Linked DNA regions of Mytilus edulis. The protein of the gene in region 1 interacts with the protein of each later gene in a pairwise test. Links are inferred from orthologs where the notes say so. Each region holds a gene or a part of one and is shown on either strand. Other genes may lie near its edges.

Region 1 (8,407 bases):
TGTTCTTTTATTGAATAGAACTCGTGGTATTTAAGCATGAGACTAGTGTATTATGGACTCAAGACAGACAAAAGAGAAACAGCAAAGAGGCGTAAATTTGGCCACAAAAAATTAACTCACAACTAATATTTTCCATCAAAACTGTACAGATTTATATAGACAAAAAAAAAATTCTGAATGTTATTGTTCTTGTCTTGACTCCACAATGAGTTTATAATTTAAGCCATACCTTCTCAAAGTGAGGTGATTTTATAACCTTCATCTTATTAAATGTATTACATAAAATAAGACATGGTATGATTGCCAATCAGACATCTATTAAACAAAGTCAAAATGACATGAATAAAAGCAACTAAAGGTATCTGTACTATAAATATGGCCATCAACAATTACTTCAATAGAACTTGCTTTAAGTATTTGATTTTTCTTCGAGTTTAAACTAGTCATTTTCATAAAATTAAGTAGCAATTTTTTGATTTCTCTGTTTAATATATCAAGATTTTAAATATGTCCTGTATACCAGACCTCTCCCAGGACATGTTCTCAACTGTGCAATAACTCACCTAATCTGTTCCAGAAATCTTCTGCATTAAACTCAATACCATCAGTTTCTTTAGTTTCTCCTCCTGTAAAATATAAATGACATGTACAGTAAGTTTTGGTTCACGATGATAATATGTACTCTTTTTTTATGATGATTAAAAGTCTTTTAAGATTTAATGATTTGGCGAATCACGTTAAATTTTGTCCAAAAATAATGATAATGACAATTATTTGAGACCTCTGACTAATCATGATAAGGATATTTAGACAAATCACATTTAAATTTTAAAGGGGCACTAGCTGTCAAATTCATGTTAACTGTTTTGACACAAATTCTCATATTTTATTCATAACAATGTAAAACATTTATTCCAAACTATCAAAAGTCTAAAATAAACAATTTACAGGGCACAGGCTAAATGATATGTAGCTTCATTTCATGTGTATTTTAATCTAGAGGCCATCTAATTAACTATTGAGTTGACCTCCGATGACCATAAAAGCAATATAAATGTTCCAGACCATGTGAGTATTTGTACTCTACGCATACAGTCCGGACCATATGGGTATACTCGTACTGTCAGACCATACGTGTACAGTCGAACCATATGGGTATACTTATACGGTATATATAGGATGAACTAGACAATATATGTATTTGAACAATATGGGTTAATTTAAGATAAACATTTATCAAAATCTTTTATCGAAATTACAAATTTGTTTTCTTGCAATTAGATGAATAACATGAAATATGTCATCAACCCTACACACTAATCTGGAAAAATACTATTAACAACTGGTATTATTAGAGTAACAAAGCTACTGTATTCATTCTTTGCATTAATTTTCGACAGGTTTTAATTATATTTTCAAACAGATTTTTTTTTATAGATTTTGTCTAGTATCTTTGACAGTTTTTTGAAGTAAAGTTCCTAAATATTGTTAAATCTTTTCTTTCAACACTCATATATATATATAACTTCAATTTCAGTGAGCAAAATTAAATATCATGTGTTACTGACATGATAAATACAAGAGCTAAACAGATGAACAGATTGAATTAACGTGACCTTTTTAAATAGTTAAATTATTAAGTTTTGAATTCATTAACATTTAAACTTTTAAGATTAATTACAGATTTCTTTTTGTTGATTAGTAATATACAATTCTATCTAATAAACATGACATCTTAAATAAATACACGTACGGTCCGACTGTATGAGTATTTTGAAAAAGTATGTGTACGGTCCAAATACTCATATGGTCTGGAACATAAACATAATTATAGATATAAATAGAAAAGGGAACTTGTGCAATTGAATATTTATAGGTCTGTTTGATTTTATATTTTAGGTTAAAATTATATACTTGCAAGTGAATGATTCATTATCAATGTTTCTTTAATAGCTTAATTTGATAAAATTGAACCATTTTGGCTGCTAAAAGTGAAATTATTATTTCACAATTTCACTTTCATTAATGATTGAACAAATAAAATTAAATTTTAGATCTTTTTATATCTCTTAGCTAGTGCCTAACCAATTTGATGCTGACCATTTGACGCCTGACGGTAAACATGGTAAAGGGCATTTCTACCCTAATTGAAGAGTTGTATACAGTGACAGTGTAGTCTTCATACAAAGTTAAAAAAAATTGTCTTCTTTACAGATTAAAGCCTTTAAGATGATGAGATTTCATTATGGCAGAGGGTGGAGAATTCATCTTCGCTAGCCAAGGGTTACGATCCACTTCCCTCCTCTCTGATAAGTGGATCTTAACCCTTGGCCCGGGAAGATGGGAGAGATAGACTAAGCATTAAATTATTGAATGTTAATGCATCATAATCATATTTAAACGGTGCCTTTTTTAAACAAGTCTATGTTTGTGTGTGCTTTCTTGTTGTGCATTTTCCCAGTCATAAATATACATATATCACAATATACAGAGCTACATATAAAATTTTCACAACAGACACCAGCATGTATGTTAGTCCGAGATTACTCTGACGTCCAACGGCTGTTTTGCCAGACAAGCTGGGGCCGTGGGACCCCGGCCCCAGCTTGTCTGGCAGTTGGAGTTATCTCGGACTACATGTATGTATGTATGTACTTCAAGATTCCGCCTGTTTAGACACACCCCTTGATTGACTGCAAGGGTACAGGGGATATATGTACACTCCCTAAAGATTAATGGAAATGTGTCCTTTTCCAATATTATCCCACCACCAGAACAATCCCCAACCAACACCGCCCAAGGGAGCGAGTAGGACACCGGGAAGTCTGTTATTATGATGGAGGAAGCCGAAGTACTCGGAGAGAACCACCGGGCTTCTTGTCGTGAACAGACAACCCAAAGAGATTTCAGAAGATTGATCTACGAGATAAGCTCTACTGTGATAGTCGACTTTGGTATATTTTTACCCCCTTATTGATAGGATTTCAAACTCCTGTGAACACACATGGTCATCATAAAAATTAAAAACTGAAAAAGTGTCAAGTGTGCTTGACAATTGTCCTTATTTTGTTTTTCCTTTTATCTGGTATCTATCTACTGGTGAGTGGTCATGTTACCTTTCACTTGATCTATTGCTATTGCTAAATTTGCTGTTAAATTGTGGAGTAGTTCAACATAAAAATTTTCTGCCATTTCCGTGTTTGGTTTAGAAATTATTTACACAATATTTTCGGATTTTCGGGGTGAATCTGTGTTCTTCACGAACAATCTAGGGGTTACACTAATGACTGGACCGAATGACAGGACCGAATGACAGGACCAAATGAAAAATGCTAATAACTTTTTCATTTCTCAAAGGATTGATCTCAAATTTGAAATATAATAAGATTTCATCATTTGATAAATAGATTTAAGAAAAAAATTAAAAAGTTTTGTAAGAAACTTTAGAAAATGTGACATGACCAACTTTGATAATGACAGGACCAACATCGAGAATGACAGGACCAAATAAAAATGCTAATAACTTTTTTGTTTTTCAAAGGAATTATTTCAGATTTGAAATATAAAATGGTATGTCATATTTTGAAACCAAAATGTTGTAAAAAATATAGATTTATTTTCAAAAACTTTCGAAAACGTGACATGACCATCGCTGATTGACAGGACCAACATCGACAATGACCGGACCAGATGAAATTGCTAATTTCTCTTTTATTTCTCAAAATATTTTTCTAAAATTTTAAATATAATAAGATTTCATCATTTATCAAATAAATTTAAAAAAAAATACACAAAAAATATATAAGAAACTTTAGAAAACGTGACATGACCAACTCTGATAATGACAGGACCAACTTCGACAATAACAGGACCAAATAAAAATGCTAATAACTTTTTTATTTTTCAAAGGAATTATCTCAGATTTGAAACATAAAATGATATGTCACATTTTGAAACATTTATGTTATAAAAAATAATAATTTATTTTCAAAAACTTTCAAAATCGTGACATGATCCCATCGCTGACTGACATGACCAACCTCGACAAAGACCTGAACAAATGAAATTGCTAATTATTCTTTTATTTCGCAGAGTATTTCTCTGAAAATTAAAATATGTGAAGATTATACCATTTTATACATAAATATAAGAAAAAGTATAAAAAGCTTGCTGAAATGTGACCTGGTTAACGTTGTCAATAACAGGACAATCCTCGACAATTAATGACAGGACCAAATAAAAATGCTAATTATGCATAACATTTGTCAGAATATTCCTCTCAAATTTGAAATAATGACAATTAAGACCATTTTGCACATCATATAAGAAAAATATAGAAAAAAAAAACGTATTGAAAGCTTGCGGTTGTGTGACCTGACCAACATCGGCTATGATCTGGCCAATGATTTTACTGAAATTGTTCAATTCTGATCCATAATTAGTATGATATATCTTATAAATTCAGGAAAATATATTCTATGGTGGTTAAAATTCTTGACCTAGCTACTAAACATGCTAAACGTATGTTGGCAGAGAGTCACAGGACATGCAGAGTCACAGGACAAAAAGACACGAATGATCACTATATTTAAGAAAGAGATCTTGAAATATTTATATATAATTACATATAATCATTTTATAGTTTAAGAGATTGTTCATTAGATAAATTCAGATTTATTGAATTGTCATCATAATATTTCTTGACATCATGAAGCCCAATTTAAGCCACTTTGAAAAGGTATCAAACCTTTTAAAGTAGTCCGTGAAAATGTTTGATTCAGTATATTTTATGAAAATATTTGAAACTACCAAGAAATCATGCATGCAAGGGTCGGGCATACTTCAAGAAATGTTTATTTGTTTATTTATTATGAGGGGGAAACTATCAAGATATACCCTGCATATACTCAAGCATACATGGAAATAATTATTTAATGTTCTGAAAATATTGATTAAAACAACGACTTGAACTATTATGTGATTTTAATTACTGTCATCACAATCTTTATTGGATTTATCAACTTATTTATGGCTTATGTCACACCTTTTGTTTGTTACCTTATAATTGTTTTCAGACGTGTCAGATTATGTCCGGTAATTAATATACAAAATAATCTGAATGAATGAATGAATGAATGATCTTTATTCTCAACCCAAATACATAGTTAAAGAGTTAAGATATAGCATGTGTGAAATATCAATTAATATGATAAATATTTACACCAAAGATAAATAAAGTTAGCCTTTTCCCTTATTTTCTAAAAGCTTATAAATCATTCAATCTTAATGTGTGTGTTTTAATTATTATTATTAATTTCAACCAGGATTTCTATAGTAGGGACTATGGTCATTTCACGTTTTCGCAATAAAATAAAAAAAAATCTAGATTTTTTTTTCTTTAATTGATATTTTAAAAGATGAGATCACATTTTATTTTAAATCTGACATAATTCCTTTTCAAAATTAAAAAGTGAATAGCATTTTTATTTGGTCCTGTCCTTGTCAAGGTTTGTCCTGTCATTGTTAGTGTTGGTCAGGTCACATTACAGCAAGCTTTTAGTATTTTTTTTTCCTATATCATTCCTATTTTTATGTCTAAAATGGTTAAATCTGACTATATCTCAAATTTCAGAAAAATATTTTTTAGAAATAAAAAGTAATTAGCAATTTCATCTGGTCCTGTCATTGTCGAGGTTGGTCCTGTCAGTCAGCGATGGTTATGTCACGTTTAAACTTTCTATATTTTTTATAACATTTATTTTTCAAAATATGACATATTATTTTATATTTCAAATCTGTGAGAATTCCTTTGAAAAATAAAAAAAGTTATTAGCATTTTACTTTGGTCCTGTCATTGTCGATGTTGGTCATGTCATTATCAGAGTTGGTCATGTCACGTTTTCTAAAGTTTCTTACAATTTTTTTAATTTTTTTTTTCTTAAATCTATTTATCAAATGATGAAATCTTATTATATATCAAATTTCAGAAAAATATTTTGAGAAATAAAAGAGAAATTAGCAATTTTATCTGGTCCAGTCATTGCCGAGGTTGGTCCTGTCAATCAGCGATGGTCATGTCACGTTTTCGAAAGTTTTTGAAAATAAATCTATATTTTTTACAACATTTTGGTTTCAAAATATGACATACCATTTTATATTTCAAATCTGAAATAATTCCTTTGAAAAACAAAAAAGTTATTAGCATTTTTATTTGGTCCTGTCATTCTCGATGTTGGTCCTGTCATTATCAAAGTTGGTCATGTCACATTTTCTAAAGTTTCTTACAAAACTTTTTAATTTTTTTCTTAAATCTATTTATCAAATGATGAAATCTTATTATATTTCAAATTTGAGATCAATCCTTTGAGAAATGAAAAAGTTATTAGCATTTTTCATTTGGTCCTGTCATTCGGTCCTGTCATTCGGTCCAGTCATTAGTGTAACCCACAATCTAGAGAATAAAAATTCCGTTGTCATCTCAGATTCTGAATCAAACACATTTTTCTCACCTTATAAGATCTTATAAATTAGTTTAAAGAACATTACGAAATGGCTGATGATGAATTGGATGCCATAAGGGCCAGAAGAATGGCAGAACTTCAAGGGGTAATTGAAGGCACAATGAATGAACTATGAATTTATGATTCTGACAAACATGTGTTATGGCTTATGTCGTATGATATGTAATTTAATTTTTCTAGTCACTTCGGCACCTGGTTAAATCGGACTCTGATCAAATCGTACCCGGTATAGTCGATTCGGCTGCTTGTCAAATCGGACATAGTTAATTCAGCACCCTAGACACAGGCACTTGTTTCTATCCATTGGAAGACCCACTATCAACGTATATTTAAATATACGTTGATAGTGGGTCTTCCAATGGATAGAAACAAGTGCCTGTGACCCTAGACAGTTATTTCTCTACACTACTTCACGAGCAAGTTAAAAATTTCTGCACCCTTCATTATGTAGATAGTTATTTCGGTACACTACTTCACTAGCTGCAGGACCGTAGCTCTTACATGTAGGTCCTTTTATTATTGTTTGCAAATAGTAAAAAAAAAAGCACAAGATATACAACTTATCGCTATTTGTCCGTTATTACTGGACATTACACAGGTTTCCGTAAGCTTTTGATGTCATGGTAATACAAGATGTCTGACGCCACAATGAAAAAGTGATTGTTGTATGACGCCAATTGTTCAAGCAGGACAGCTTCTCATTAAATTTTACCTTTGTATTGGCCATTTGTTTGTCTTTCAGCAGTGATTTTGCTAGCGCTCGTCACTTTCGTATTTTACGAAAGGGTTTTCTCATTGACGAAAGTATTTCAAATCAATTTCGTCACTTTAATTTTGAAAGTGTAAAATAAAATTCGCAATAAAAACTATAAATCTACCTGTCTTCATGTTTTTGACAAGTTTATGACCTCCAGGTAATTAACATTTTTAACAGGTGTTACAAGTTGTGATTACAACTAATCCGCTTATCGCCATCGGATGGGTCACTAATCCGTTAATTATTATTAAACCCCATAATTGAATGACCATCATAATTATTTCCCCAGGAAAATCAGCCAGTCGGCAAGTCATTTCAACAATCAGGAGTTTAGTTTCGTCAATTAATCAAAAATGTAACAACCCGGTCAGTTCGCATTTGAATTTTAATATTTTTCCAACGATCTGAAGTTCATTTGTCGTAGATTCGTCATTCGAAGGCATTTTCGTCATAATGGATTTAAATTTTCATCAAAAAACTTTCGACAATTTCCATTTAAAATAAAGAACTTTAATGTGTTTATTCAAAACTTTCACGAGTTAAACAGGTGCTTCCTGTATTGTATTCTTACGCATGCGTGAAAGTATTCCTTTGACTATTTATAGACTTTAAAAAAACGTAAAATACGAAATCATTTAATTTAGAATCAATTAAACGAGAGAGACAAATATCTCTTACTAAAGGAATTTAAATAAAAAAATGATAATTTCCTGATGAATCCGGACTCGTTTTGAATTTATTATCCACGTGTCACTTCCCGTTTTTGTTTCATTTTAAAACCGAAAGTAGTAAACGTGATCTATTGTTGATTTGTTTACAACCTACTTTCAGTCATTATTATAGTTCCAAAAAGGATTTTACACATTTCCAACTTGAAAGAAATGATTCCAAATATCGATTTAGACCTTTTATATGGATAATGATTATGCAGTGAAATAATCATTGCAAGTTTATTTCTGCTGTGATTCCTTGTTTAAAAAAAATAGAATCCAACTTTTGTTGATCAGGAATGACCCCTGGAACAAACTGAAGAGAAATTGTGAACTAAATTTCTGGATTCCATGTCAGAATCTTTCATAATAATGGCCAATACAGTCAAATCATACAATAACTGCCAATCATGCTGGTG
Region 2 (9,059 bases), on another chromosome or scaffold:
GTAAATTCAAAGGTACACTGTATACAAAGTTAAAAGGACCACTTTACATTAGTCTATACTGAACTCAATGTTTACACAAAAATGTATTGAAATGTATGATCATGTGGTGTACACATACATGTATTGTCAATTTTCTTTTATGGCATATAGACATGTATCTCTATTCAACAGGAAAATTTTATTAAAATTAATTTCATATATGACAAAAATTGAAAGCATTTTTTTTCTGTAGCAAATAAACAGAGCAAGGCTTATTTGACCTTTTTATTATTGATTTTCTTTGTATTAGACTACAAACTTTTATTCAGGTAATAGAAGGTTATACTGTTATAGTAAGTTTACCCCTTGCTTACAAATTATTCTTTATTCATTTAAAAATCTAAAATAAATATTTTCCTCTGGATGTTAAGCAAACAAAAATCACTCCATCATTTAATAATTATCATTACTTAATTATATAGTGAATGAAACGGTTATATATATTGTCTAAATCATTGGCATCATTCTATTTGAATCTTATTTATATCAAAATTATTATTTTATAGATAAACTGTAGGTGAAAGTTTCATTTCTGATCAGAACTAGCTGTTTGAAATATATTAAAGAAACACAGATATTTATGTGCATGATAAGGGTACTTTAACTACTTATAGTGTCCTGAAACTTCATAAACCTAAATCAAAATTAATTACCTTAAACCAAAATAAATGGTAAAACGAATTTCATAATCACATTTATTGCTAAAAAGGCACAATGTATAATTACTTTATGTAAATAAAACTGTTCTAGAAATATTTACATTGTTATCAGTAAAAATTAAATCAGAAGATTAACCATTTACTTTTTCCAAATAAACTGTATAAGGTGAATTTTCGAATCAAGCTAACACATGAAATTTAATTCAAACTAAATCAAATCTTTTAGTTAAAGTTAGTTATTACTTTTCCCCCAGATAAATAAACAGACTAATAAGAAGGTAGTAATGGGAGTACCTTATTATGAACAGGTAAAAGTTCTTGCCAAATGACATTAAGGGAAGTTTTTGATATGGGACGATATAATGTACATTTTCTTTTCGACAGTAACATTAATAAAACCTCTGAGAAATCACAATAAGGATATTTTGACAACTCAAAAATAAAATTTTAACAAATTTGACGCTAACGGTAGCCTTAAATGACAGTTTAATGCCTGACGGTAAAGGACATTTAATCTAATAACAGCTACAAGCACACCCCTTATCACTGTTAAGAATCTACAACATCCTAGTGATGGTACACAAATGTGAAATAATAACTGAATTTAAAACATCCGTGGTATTCTTACTAAGCTTCAGATTAAAAAGTTAAGAATTGGTATAAATTTGTAAATGCTTGATTTGAATATTGATAAATATAATGTCTACCAATGTTAGGTTAGCAAAGAACATGCTATATGAAAGAATTGTTTCTAATCATCAACTGTTGACCTTCTCTAAATAATAATGTACAGATTGTTAAACTAACTTACATTTTATCCTAGGGCTCTTGGTCATAAAATTTAACTTGGTACTCAAAGTACAAAATTTTGCTCGAAACACAAGGACCAGAATTTTTATTGGTTGAATTTTGAGTTTGAATATCAGATAAGCATTTTTTTTTATGACTGGCTTGTCTGAACTATTTTCATGTCTTCTTACTGTTGATACATGCATACATATAGTATTACATGATATAAGGTACAATTTACCAGGCATCAACAACAATAGTAAGTGATTGCTTCATCAAAAGTACATTAATAGATTTTTACAAAAACATCTCCAAATTACTGACAATGATATTGACATTGAGAGCAAAATATGAACCAGCTCAACATAATATTTAAAATCTGACACATAATCTATTCTAACGTTTTTCAGTTTGTGTCCTTTACTATCAATTTTCATTTGTCTCCCACAGCTTGTCTTGTCCTATTTTCTGCTGTTTCGTCAGGCTATTGTATCTTTAACACATTTAATGTTTACATTCTATTTTCATTATATATTGTATTTCTAGATTAATATTTGTAACAAAAAAATTGTTTCTATGCATTGATTATTGTTTCCTAGGCAGTTGGAGTGAAATTCCCCTTTACTGGCTTTAGAAAAATCATTTCATACAATGTAGTAAACAGGGTCTCTCACTCACAAACTTTACATAAAAGTCCTTCCGACTTTATTTTCTATTCAGTTTGTGAGTTAATCGCCCCTGTTTACACATCAATAACCTCTAAAAAAAATGTGTTTAATCCTAAATGTATACTGTCTAAAATTTTCCCCAATCAGTTAAAATGTCATACACCCACATATCATTATAAATGTCTTGGTATGAAAGGTTTACTGCTGTTTGGTTGATTTCAGTAAATAAAAGAGTGGCACACTTACAAAATATATGTATGTTGACAAGGTATACATGTACAATAAATTAATATCTCAACCTCTTTACAAGCAGAGATCATTAGAGGGTACTCTTGAAAAGAAGGGTCTGGTCTAATAAAGTCCTTTTGTTTTGAATGGGAAGTACTTCAAAGTATATTAACAGTTGTATTTAAAACACTTGATATACAAATTGCAAACAAAATGTTTACATTTTCTCTTCGTGTTCAAAAGTTATCTTTATTTGAAGTGTTGTTGATGGGCAGGTTTGTATTTATCTAAACTAACTAAAGAATTGTATAATATTTTACAAATTAATTTATAAAAGCCTTTCTTACCTGGGACATGATATTTTGTACTCTGTAGATTGTGAGTTTGAGCAAATCTTTCTGATAGCATGAAAATAGGTCGCTGCATCATTATAAACTTGTTATTGCCTATATCCAGTTTTTTTTGGGAAAATGTAAAAGTTCCAAGGGCTGCTATATTCACACCCTGAAAAGCAGATAAAATATAAATTTAAAACAATTTATATTCCAACAACAGAACACTTTGTATAAAAATAATAATAATCTAATCTACAAATATTGAATGAAAGATCCATGTTGAAAAATAATCAAAAATTGTATAATTGATCATGGTGTCATTGGTGATGAAATTAAAACACATCCAACACTTGAAACCTGATACTAAATTTCAGGAAGATCTGCAATTCCGACAAAAATGCTAAGAAAATTCAATGGGAAAAATTAAAAACAGATGGAAGGACTAAAAGACGGGTAAAGATAGACTTTATAATTTGTATCATTTACACTCACTACATGTCATAAATACATCAATACTGTACATTGTAAGTGTTAAAGATACTCAGAATAAACAAATTTTAGGATGTTGGGTTTTATTTAATTATGGCAAACAAGATTTGTATTCTATAAAAAAGTAATTTACATAAATCATATTTTAATTAAAATTTTGTTACAATCACAAACAGGTTATATACATGTAACATATATATATATATATATATATGTAACATAAATAGATTGAATGTTGATTGTTGCTATTTTTAGACATTATATATATGTATCTACATTACATATAGTAACATATATATATGTAATGTAGATAAAAATAAATAAATGAGATGTAAGTTCAGTGAGCATGAGACAACAGACAATACATTACCATCACTAAGTTAAATGAATTGATGTACAGTAACTACAGTCATAAGAAATAAAAGAGAAAATCTCAGCTTCAATTTCTGAAGAGGTACAACTTCAGCCAAAAGCAATGTCACAAGTGGCAAGAGGCGATTTTTCTGGCTTCAACTTTTTTGGAGCCTGAAAAGCCTATTACTTTACAATTTAACAAAGTTTTCGTTTTTTATGCCATTACTTGGGAGTAAAACACAATATAATAAAAGCTGTTAAAATCTGGATTATTTTCATTACTTATCATGCTTATAAAAACCATTATTGCAATTGTAACTTAATTTGTAATAGGAAGAATTTGGTAGGAACTACATGTAAAAGTAGGTACAATGTAGTTAGGAGAGCAACCATCATGAGAGATCAAAATTGCATGAAGAAGTCAATTGCCTCCAAATAAATACTTCTAATGGTCAATGTTCATGGGGAACACTCTTTAAATTAAACAAAAGTTGCAACTTTTGAAGAATCATGTTTGTGTGTTTGCAAACGAAATTATGTTCATTACAACCCTAATAATCCAACACCTTATCCCTGCTATTAATGGGTTGTCCAAACAGAAACTAAAAATTCAGTGAAAATCTACTTGTAATACAAACCTTTTGTTGGTTCATCTGACTTTCAATGAATCTAGATACATTTTCCCACACATTTGTTAAATCTGAAATACAGAAAAAGTAAATATTAATAGAGAAATCCCCATATTCATCCAATTTAAGAGTGCATAAACATGATAAATTGTGTTCCATGTTTTAAAGTTGCCAAAATGCTCTGTTAGTACATAATACATGTACATTGAACAACAAATTTATTAATTTTAAAACCATTTTGTCCCAGGTTAGAGTTTTATTTTTATCACTGTTCGGTGTGAGCCAAAGCTGTACTCTGACCTATAATTGTTTATTCTTAATAACAATGATAAATTGTCACTTGGAAGGAGAGATTGTCCATTGGCACTCATACTACATCTTCTTATTTACATAAATATAATAACAATAACAATAGGATGTAGGACAGGACCTGCATGTATATAACTATGAATACATACATGTACATGGTACATGTATGAGGCCCCTCATGGGGGGGTCCTAGTAATCACATAATCACCATTTTTTTGCCAATATAATCACATAATCATTAAATATTTGCTTATCTTTAGTAATCAAATAATCATAAACTAAAAATACAGTCCTAGGTAATCAAATAATCATGAAATATTTGGCTTAATAATCAAATAATCATTAAAAAAACGGCCAAGTAATCACATAATCAAAAACCCCATGAGGGCCCTCATGTATAATTATAGTTATATTTCAATTTACATAAAAAACAAAATAATAAACAAATAAATGAAATATGATGAAAAGCAACAAATAGCGCTGAATGAGTCACCGACACTGTCATCCTGGGTACTACATGTATATTATACTCTAAGAAAGTACACATACAAGTTGAAATAAAAGTTCTGTTTATCAGGTTAACTCTCAAAAACTAAACGGGTACTCAAACTAGATATCAAATTCTGAATACTTTTCTTCCTTGCTAGTTAGCTACCCTGGGTATTTTTACACACATAAAAAATATGTAGGGGAACAATTTGATCAAGCAGAAGTACACATAGAACTTTCTTTATGTCCCAATGGATAAAATGAGCTGTTCAGAGTTTGTCTCTATCCACTTTCATGATTATGTTTTGTGTTTGCCCCTTTACTTTTGTGTGACTTATTCTGTTATGTTTGCCTATGTAAGTAAATGACAATCCTTGGTGTTCAACTAAAGTTCGAGACTGGTATTGTTGTTTGTATAGTTTGGGTTTTATCAATATCATTCAACTTACCGTCATCTGATAGAGCGTTTATGCTTGAAAAGCGATTTTTCTTTGCATCAGCAAAGATTCCTTGCATTTCTGCCATTACTGCAATAATTTTGTTTTCAAGCGATATCAGGCTTTCATTATTTTATCTGTTTAAATGCATATTGAGTTCACATTCTACAGTGTACATTAGTGTCCATAGTATAAACGTTGCCAAGGAAAAGATATTTTGATTGGCTATCACCAAACATCACAGGCAGAGCTACTAAAAAATCCGGATAAATTTGTTTCGAAGAAATTTAGAAATAGATCATAAATATGTATTATTACCAATAATTTATCTTAAAATTAGTAAGAGAAATTGAAAACTTTAAATAAAATGAAAAACAAATATTTTATGTAATGCGAAAATATTGCTTCACCATAGTCATTAAAACGTTTAAGACAAGGTGAATTCATGAGTAAGTTATGTAATGAATAAATACCCTGAAGACTCGCAATACGTCATTTTCGTAAACAACTTTGTTTTTATTTGTCGAAGGTAAATGGATAGACTAGGGTTAAGATAGTGTCATTGAAAGCTTTAATCACCTAAAAACTACCCTTCTATTCTCTTGGGGTGCCATAAAGATTATTTAATCTGACCGGATGGGTATGATAAATGACAGTTACATGTTATTTGACTGGTCCACGTACTCCTAAATATCCTTGTCAAATATGCTCCAAAGCGGTAACATGGAAACAGAGAGGGGTGGCATGTGATGATTGCAGTAAATGGTACCACGCAGACTGCATGTTAATATCTACACCTGTATATAACGCACTGGCCAATTCCAACATTTCATGGCACTGTGTAAATTGTGGAATGCCGAATTTTTCGTCATCATTATTTGAGTCCTTCATCATCGATTCAACTTATAACTCGTTCCAATCTTTATCCAGTGAAACATCAATATCAAGCCCAGGACCACCCACATACTCATCGTCACCTAAGCCGAAAAGCAAAAAAGACCAGCAGAAACAAAACAAGAAAGGTAAAAACACAAAAATCGTAGTTGTGAACTTTCAAAGTATTAAAAATAAAAAAGAAGAATTACTGAACATGATAGACACTTCCAATCCCGAAATTATATTAGGGACTGAAACATGGTTAAGACCAGACATATTAAGCTCTGAGATATTTCCACCACAATACTCAGTTTATAGAAAAGATCGTTCTGATGGATACGGAGGTGTATTGATAGCTGTAAGAGATATCATCATCAGCGAAGAACTACCCGTACAAAGTGACACAGAATCATTATATATTAGAGTAACAACACCTGACAGTAAATCCATCATAGTAGGATGTCTCTATAGACCACCCAGTAGCGATATCACCTACATGGAAAAAATGTGCAACACCACAGAAGAAATATATAAAGAGAATAAATCGTCTATATTATGGCTAGGAGGAGACATAAACCTTCCTGATATTGACTGGAAATCCAATTCAGTATGCGGCAACCAATATTCTACACAACTCAATAATAGGTTCGTAGATATGGTTAATAACTGCTGCCTAGACCAAGTGGTAACATTTCCCACTAGAGGATCCGCAACACTCGATATTTTCCTCACAAACAGACCATCCTTGGTAAATAGATGCGAGCCAATTCCTGGAATAGGCGACCACGACATCGTCTTCATTGATAGTAATGCCATCGCAATGCATCCAAAACCAACACAAAGAAAAATTTACATCTGGAAGAGAGCAGACATAGAAAAAATGAAATCAGATGCACAGGAACTATCTGAAAAATTTCATGGCTTGTATAACGCTCAGAGCTCAATATCAGAGATGTGGGAGTTCATAAAAACAGGACTCAAGAACATTCAAGACAAAAACGTACCATCAAAAATGTCATCAACAAGATTCCATCAACCTTGGATAAATGGCACAATAAAACGTATTACACGACGGAAAAAGAAAGCTTTTAAAAAAGCCCAAACAACAAAAACAACAAAAGACATCAAGAGATACAAAACTATCAAAAAGAGCTCACAGAAAGAATGTAAGAAAGCCTATTCAACATATATCCACGACATTATAAGCCCAGAGCAGAAATCCAACCCAAAGAAGTTCTGGAGCTTCATAAAGAATAAAAGATGCGAAAATGGAGGAGTAGCACCACTTAGAAACACAGATGGGCTCACATACTCAGACAACAAGATGAAGGCAAACATACTTAACAACCAGTTTTCCTCAGTATTCAACAGCAATGAAGACAAATCTACCATAAAGAAAATGAAAACAAAGCCGTACCCAGAGATGAAAAACATCACTATCTCGGAAAACGGAATACACAAATTACTTTCAAACCTCAACATACACAAAGCATCTGGGCCAGATGAAATTTCTACAAGATTATTGAAATCAATAGCGCCTGATATATCATCAATACTTACCACCTTTTTCCAAGCCTCTGTTGATCAAGGCACATTACCATCTGACTGGAAAAATGCAAACGTTGTCCCAATATTCAAGAAAGGGGATCGTAGCCAGGCATCAAACTACCGACCTGTATCATTAACTGCAATTCTATGCAAATTATTGGAGCATATCATCTGTACCAATATCATAAAACACCTTGAATGTCACTCCATCTTGACCGATGCTCAACACGGCTTTAGAAAAGAACGGTCTTGTGAATCTCAACTAATTCTCACAATTCAAGACCTAGCAAAGAACATCGACATTAAAGAGCAAATAGATCTCATCCTCTTAGACTTTTCAAAGGCATTTGACAAAGTCCCACATGAGCGACTACTGTACAAGATCGACCACTATGGCATAAGAGGGACAACAATAGACTGGTTGAGAAATTTTCTGGACGACAGACAGCAATGTGTACTCCTGGAAGGAGAATCTTCAGAAACCTCACCAGTGCAGTCTGGAGTTCCACAAGGTAGTGTGCTTGGCCCTCTGATGTTTCTCATTTTCATAAATGACCTTCCAGAGTATGTGTCAGCATCAAGCGTTAGACTTTTCGCAGACGACTGTGTCCTCTACCGCCAAATAAGAAACCAAGAAGATGCGAACACCCTTCAGAACGACCTAAATGGACTACAACAATGGGAGGCAGACTGGCAGATGGAATTCCACCCCCAAAAATGCCAACTCCTAAGAGTAACAACAAAACGGAACACGATTAAGGCGAACTACACCATACATGGCCATGTCCTAGAAGAGGTTGACTCGGCGAAATATCTTGGCCTCTCTATACACAAAACATTGAGTTGGAACAAACATATAGACAACATCGCAAAGAAAGCTAACTCGACCAGAGCTTTTCTTCAAAGAAACATCAAAAACTGTCCTAGTGAAACAAAAGCCTTATGCTATCAAACGCTTGTAAGACCACTCATGGAATACTCTAGCACCATCTGGGATCCAGCTACTAAGGACAATATAAACAAATTAGAAGCCATACAACGACGATGCGCACGATTTGTACTGAATGATTATAGAAGAACAAGCAGTGTAACATCAATGCTACAAACTTTAAATTGGGATACGTTACAGGAAAGAAGAGCTAAATGTAAAGCCATCATGTTTTATAGGGTAGTGCACAAACTCATTGCTATACCATCTATAAACTTACAG

What was found.
Region 2: the proteins of cyclin-D1-binding protein 1 homolog (region 1) and pre-mRNA-splicing factor SYF2-like interact in binary tests that used the Homo sapiens proteins (3 or more experiments, as listed by UniProt). The link is inferred for Mytilus edulis from reciprocal best matches to the Homo sapiens genes CCNDBP1 and SYF2.

What each region holds. Positions count from the first base shown.
Region 1 is NC_092348.1:92,450,206-92,458,612, reverse strand, and holds the start of cyclin-D1-binding protein 1 homolog, read right to left. Parts: upstream 3,245-8,407; 5' UTR 3,193-3,244; coding exon 3,117-3,192; intron 627-3,116; coding exon 564-626; intron 1-563. Other genes in the region: programmed cell death protein 5-like, read left to right, coding at 6,550-6,606. UniProt on the Homo sapiens protein: May negatively regulate cell cycle progression. May act at least in part via inhibition of the cyclin-D1/CDK4 complex, thereby preventing phosphorylation of RB1 and blocking E2F-dependent transcription.
Region 2 is NC_092353.1:23,095,693-23,104,751, forward strand, and holds the start of pre-mRNA-splicing factor SYF2-like, read left to right. Parts: upstream 1-5,839; 5' UTR 5,840-5,870; coding exon 5,871-5,874; exon of another isoform or gene 5,875-6,061; coding exon of another isoform or gene 6,062-6,065; intron 6,066-9,059. Other genes in the region: coiled-coil domain-containing protein 81-like, read right to left, coding at 2,731-2,887, 4,200-4,261, 5,438-5,513. UniProt on the Homo sapiens protein: Involved in pre-mRNA splicing as component of the spliceosome.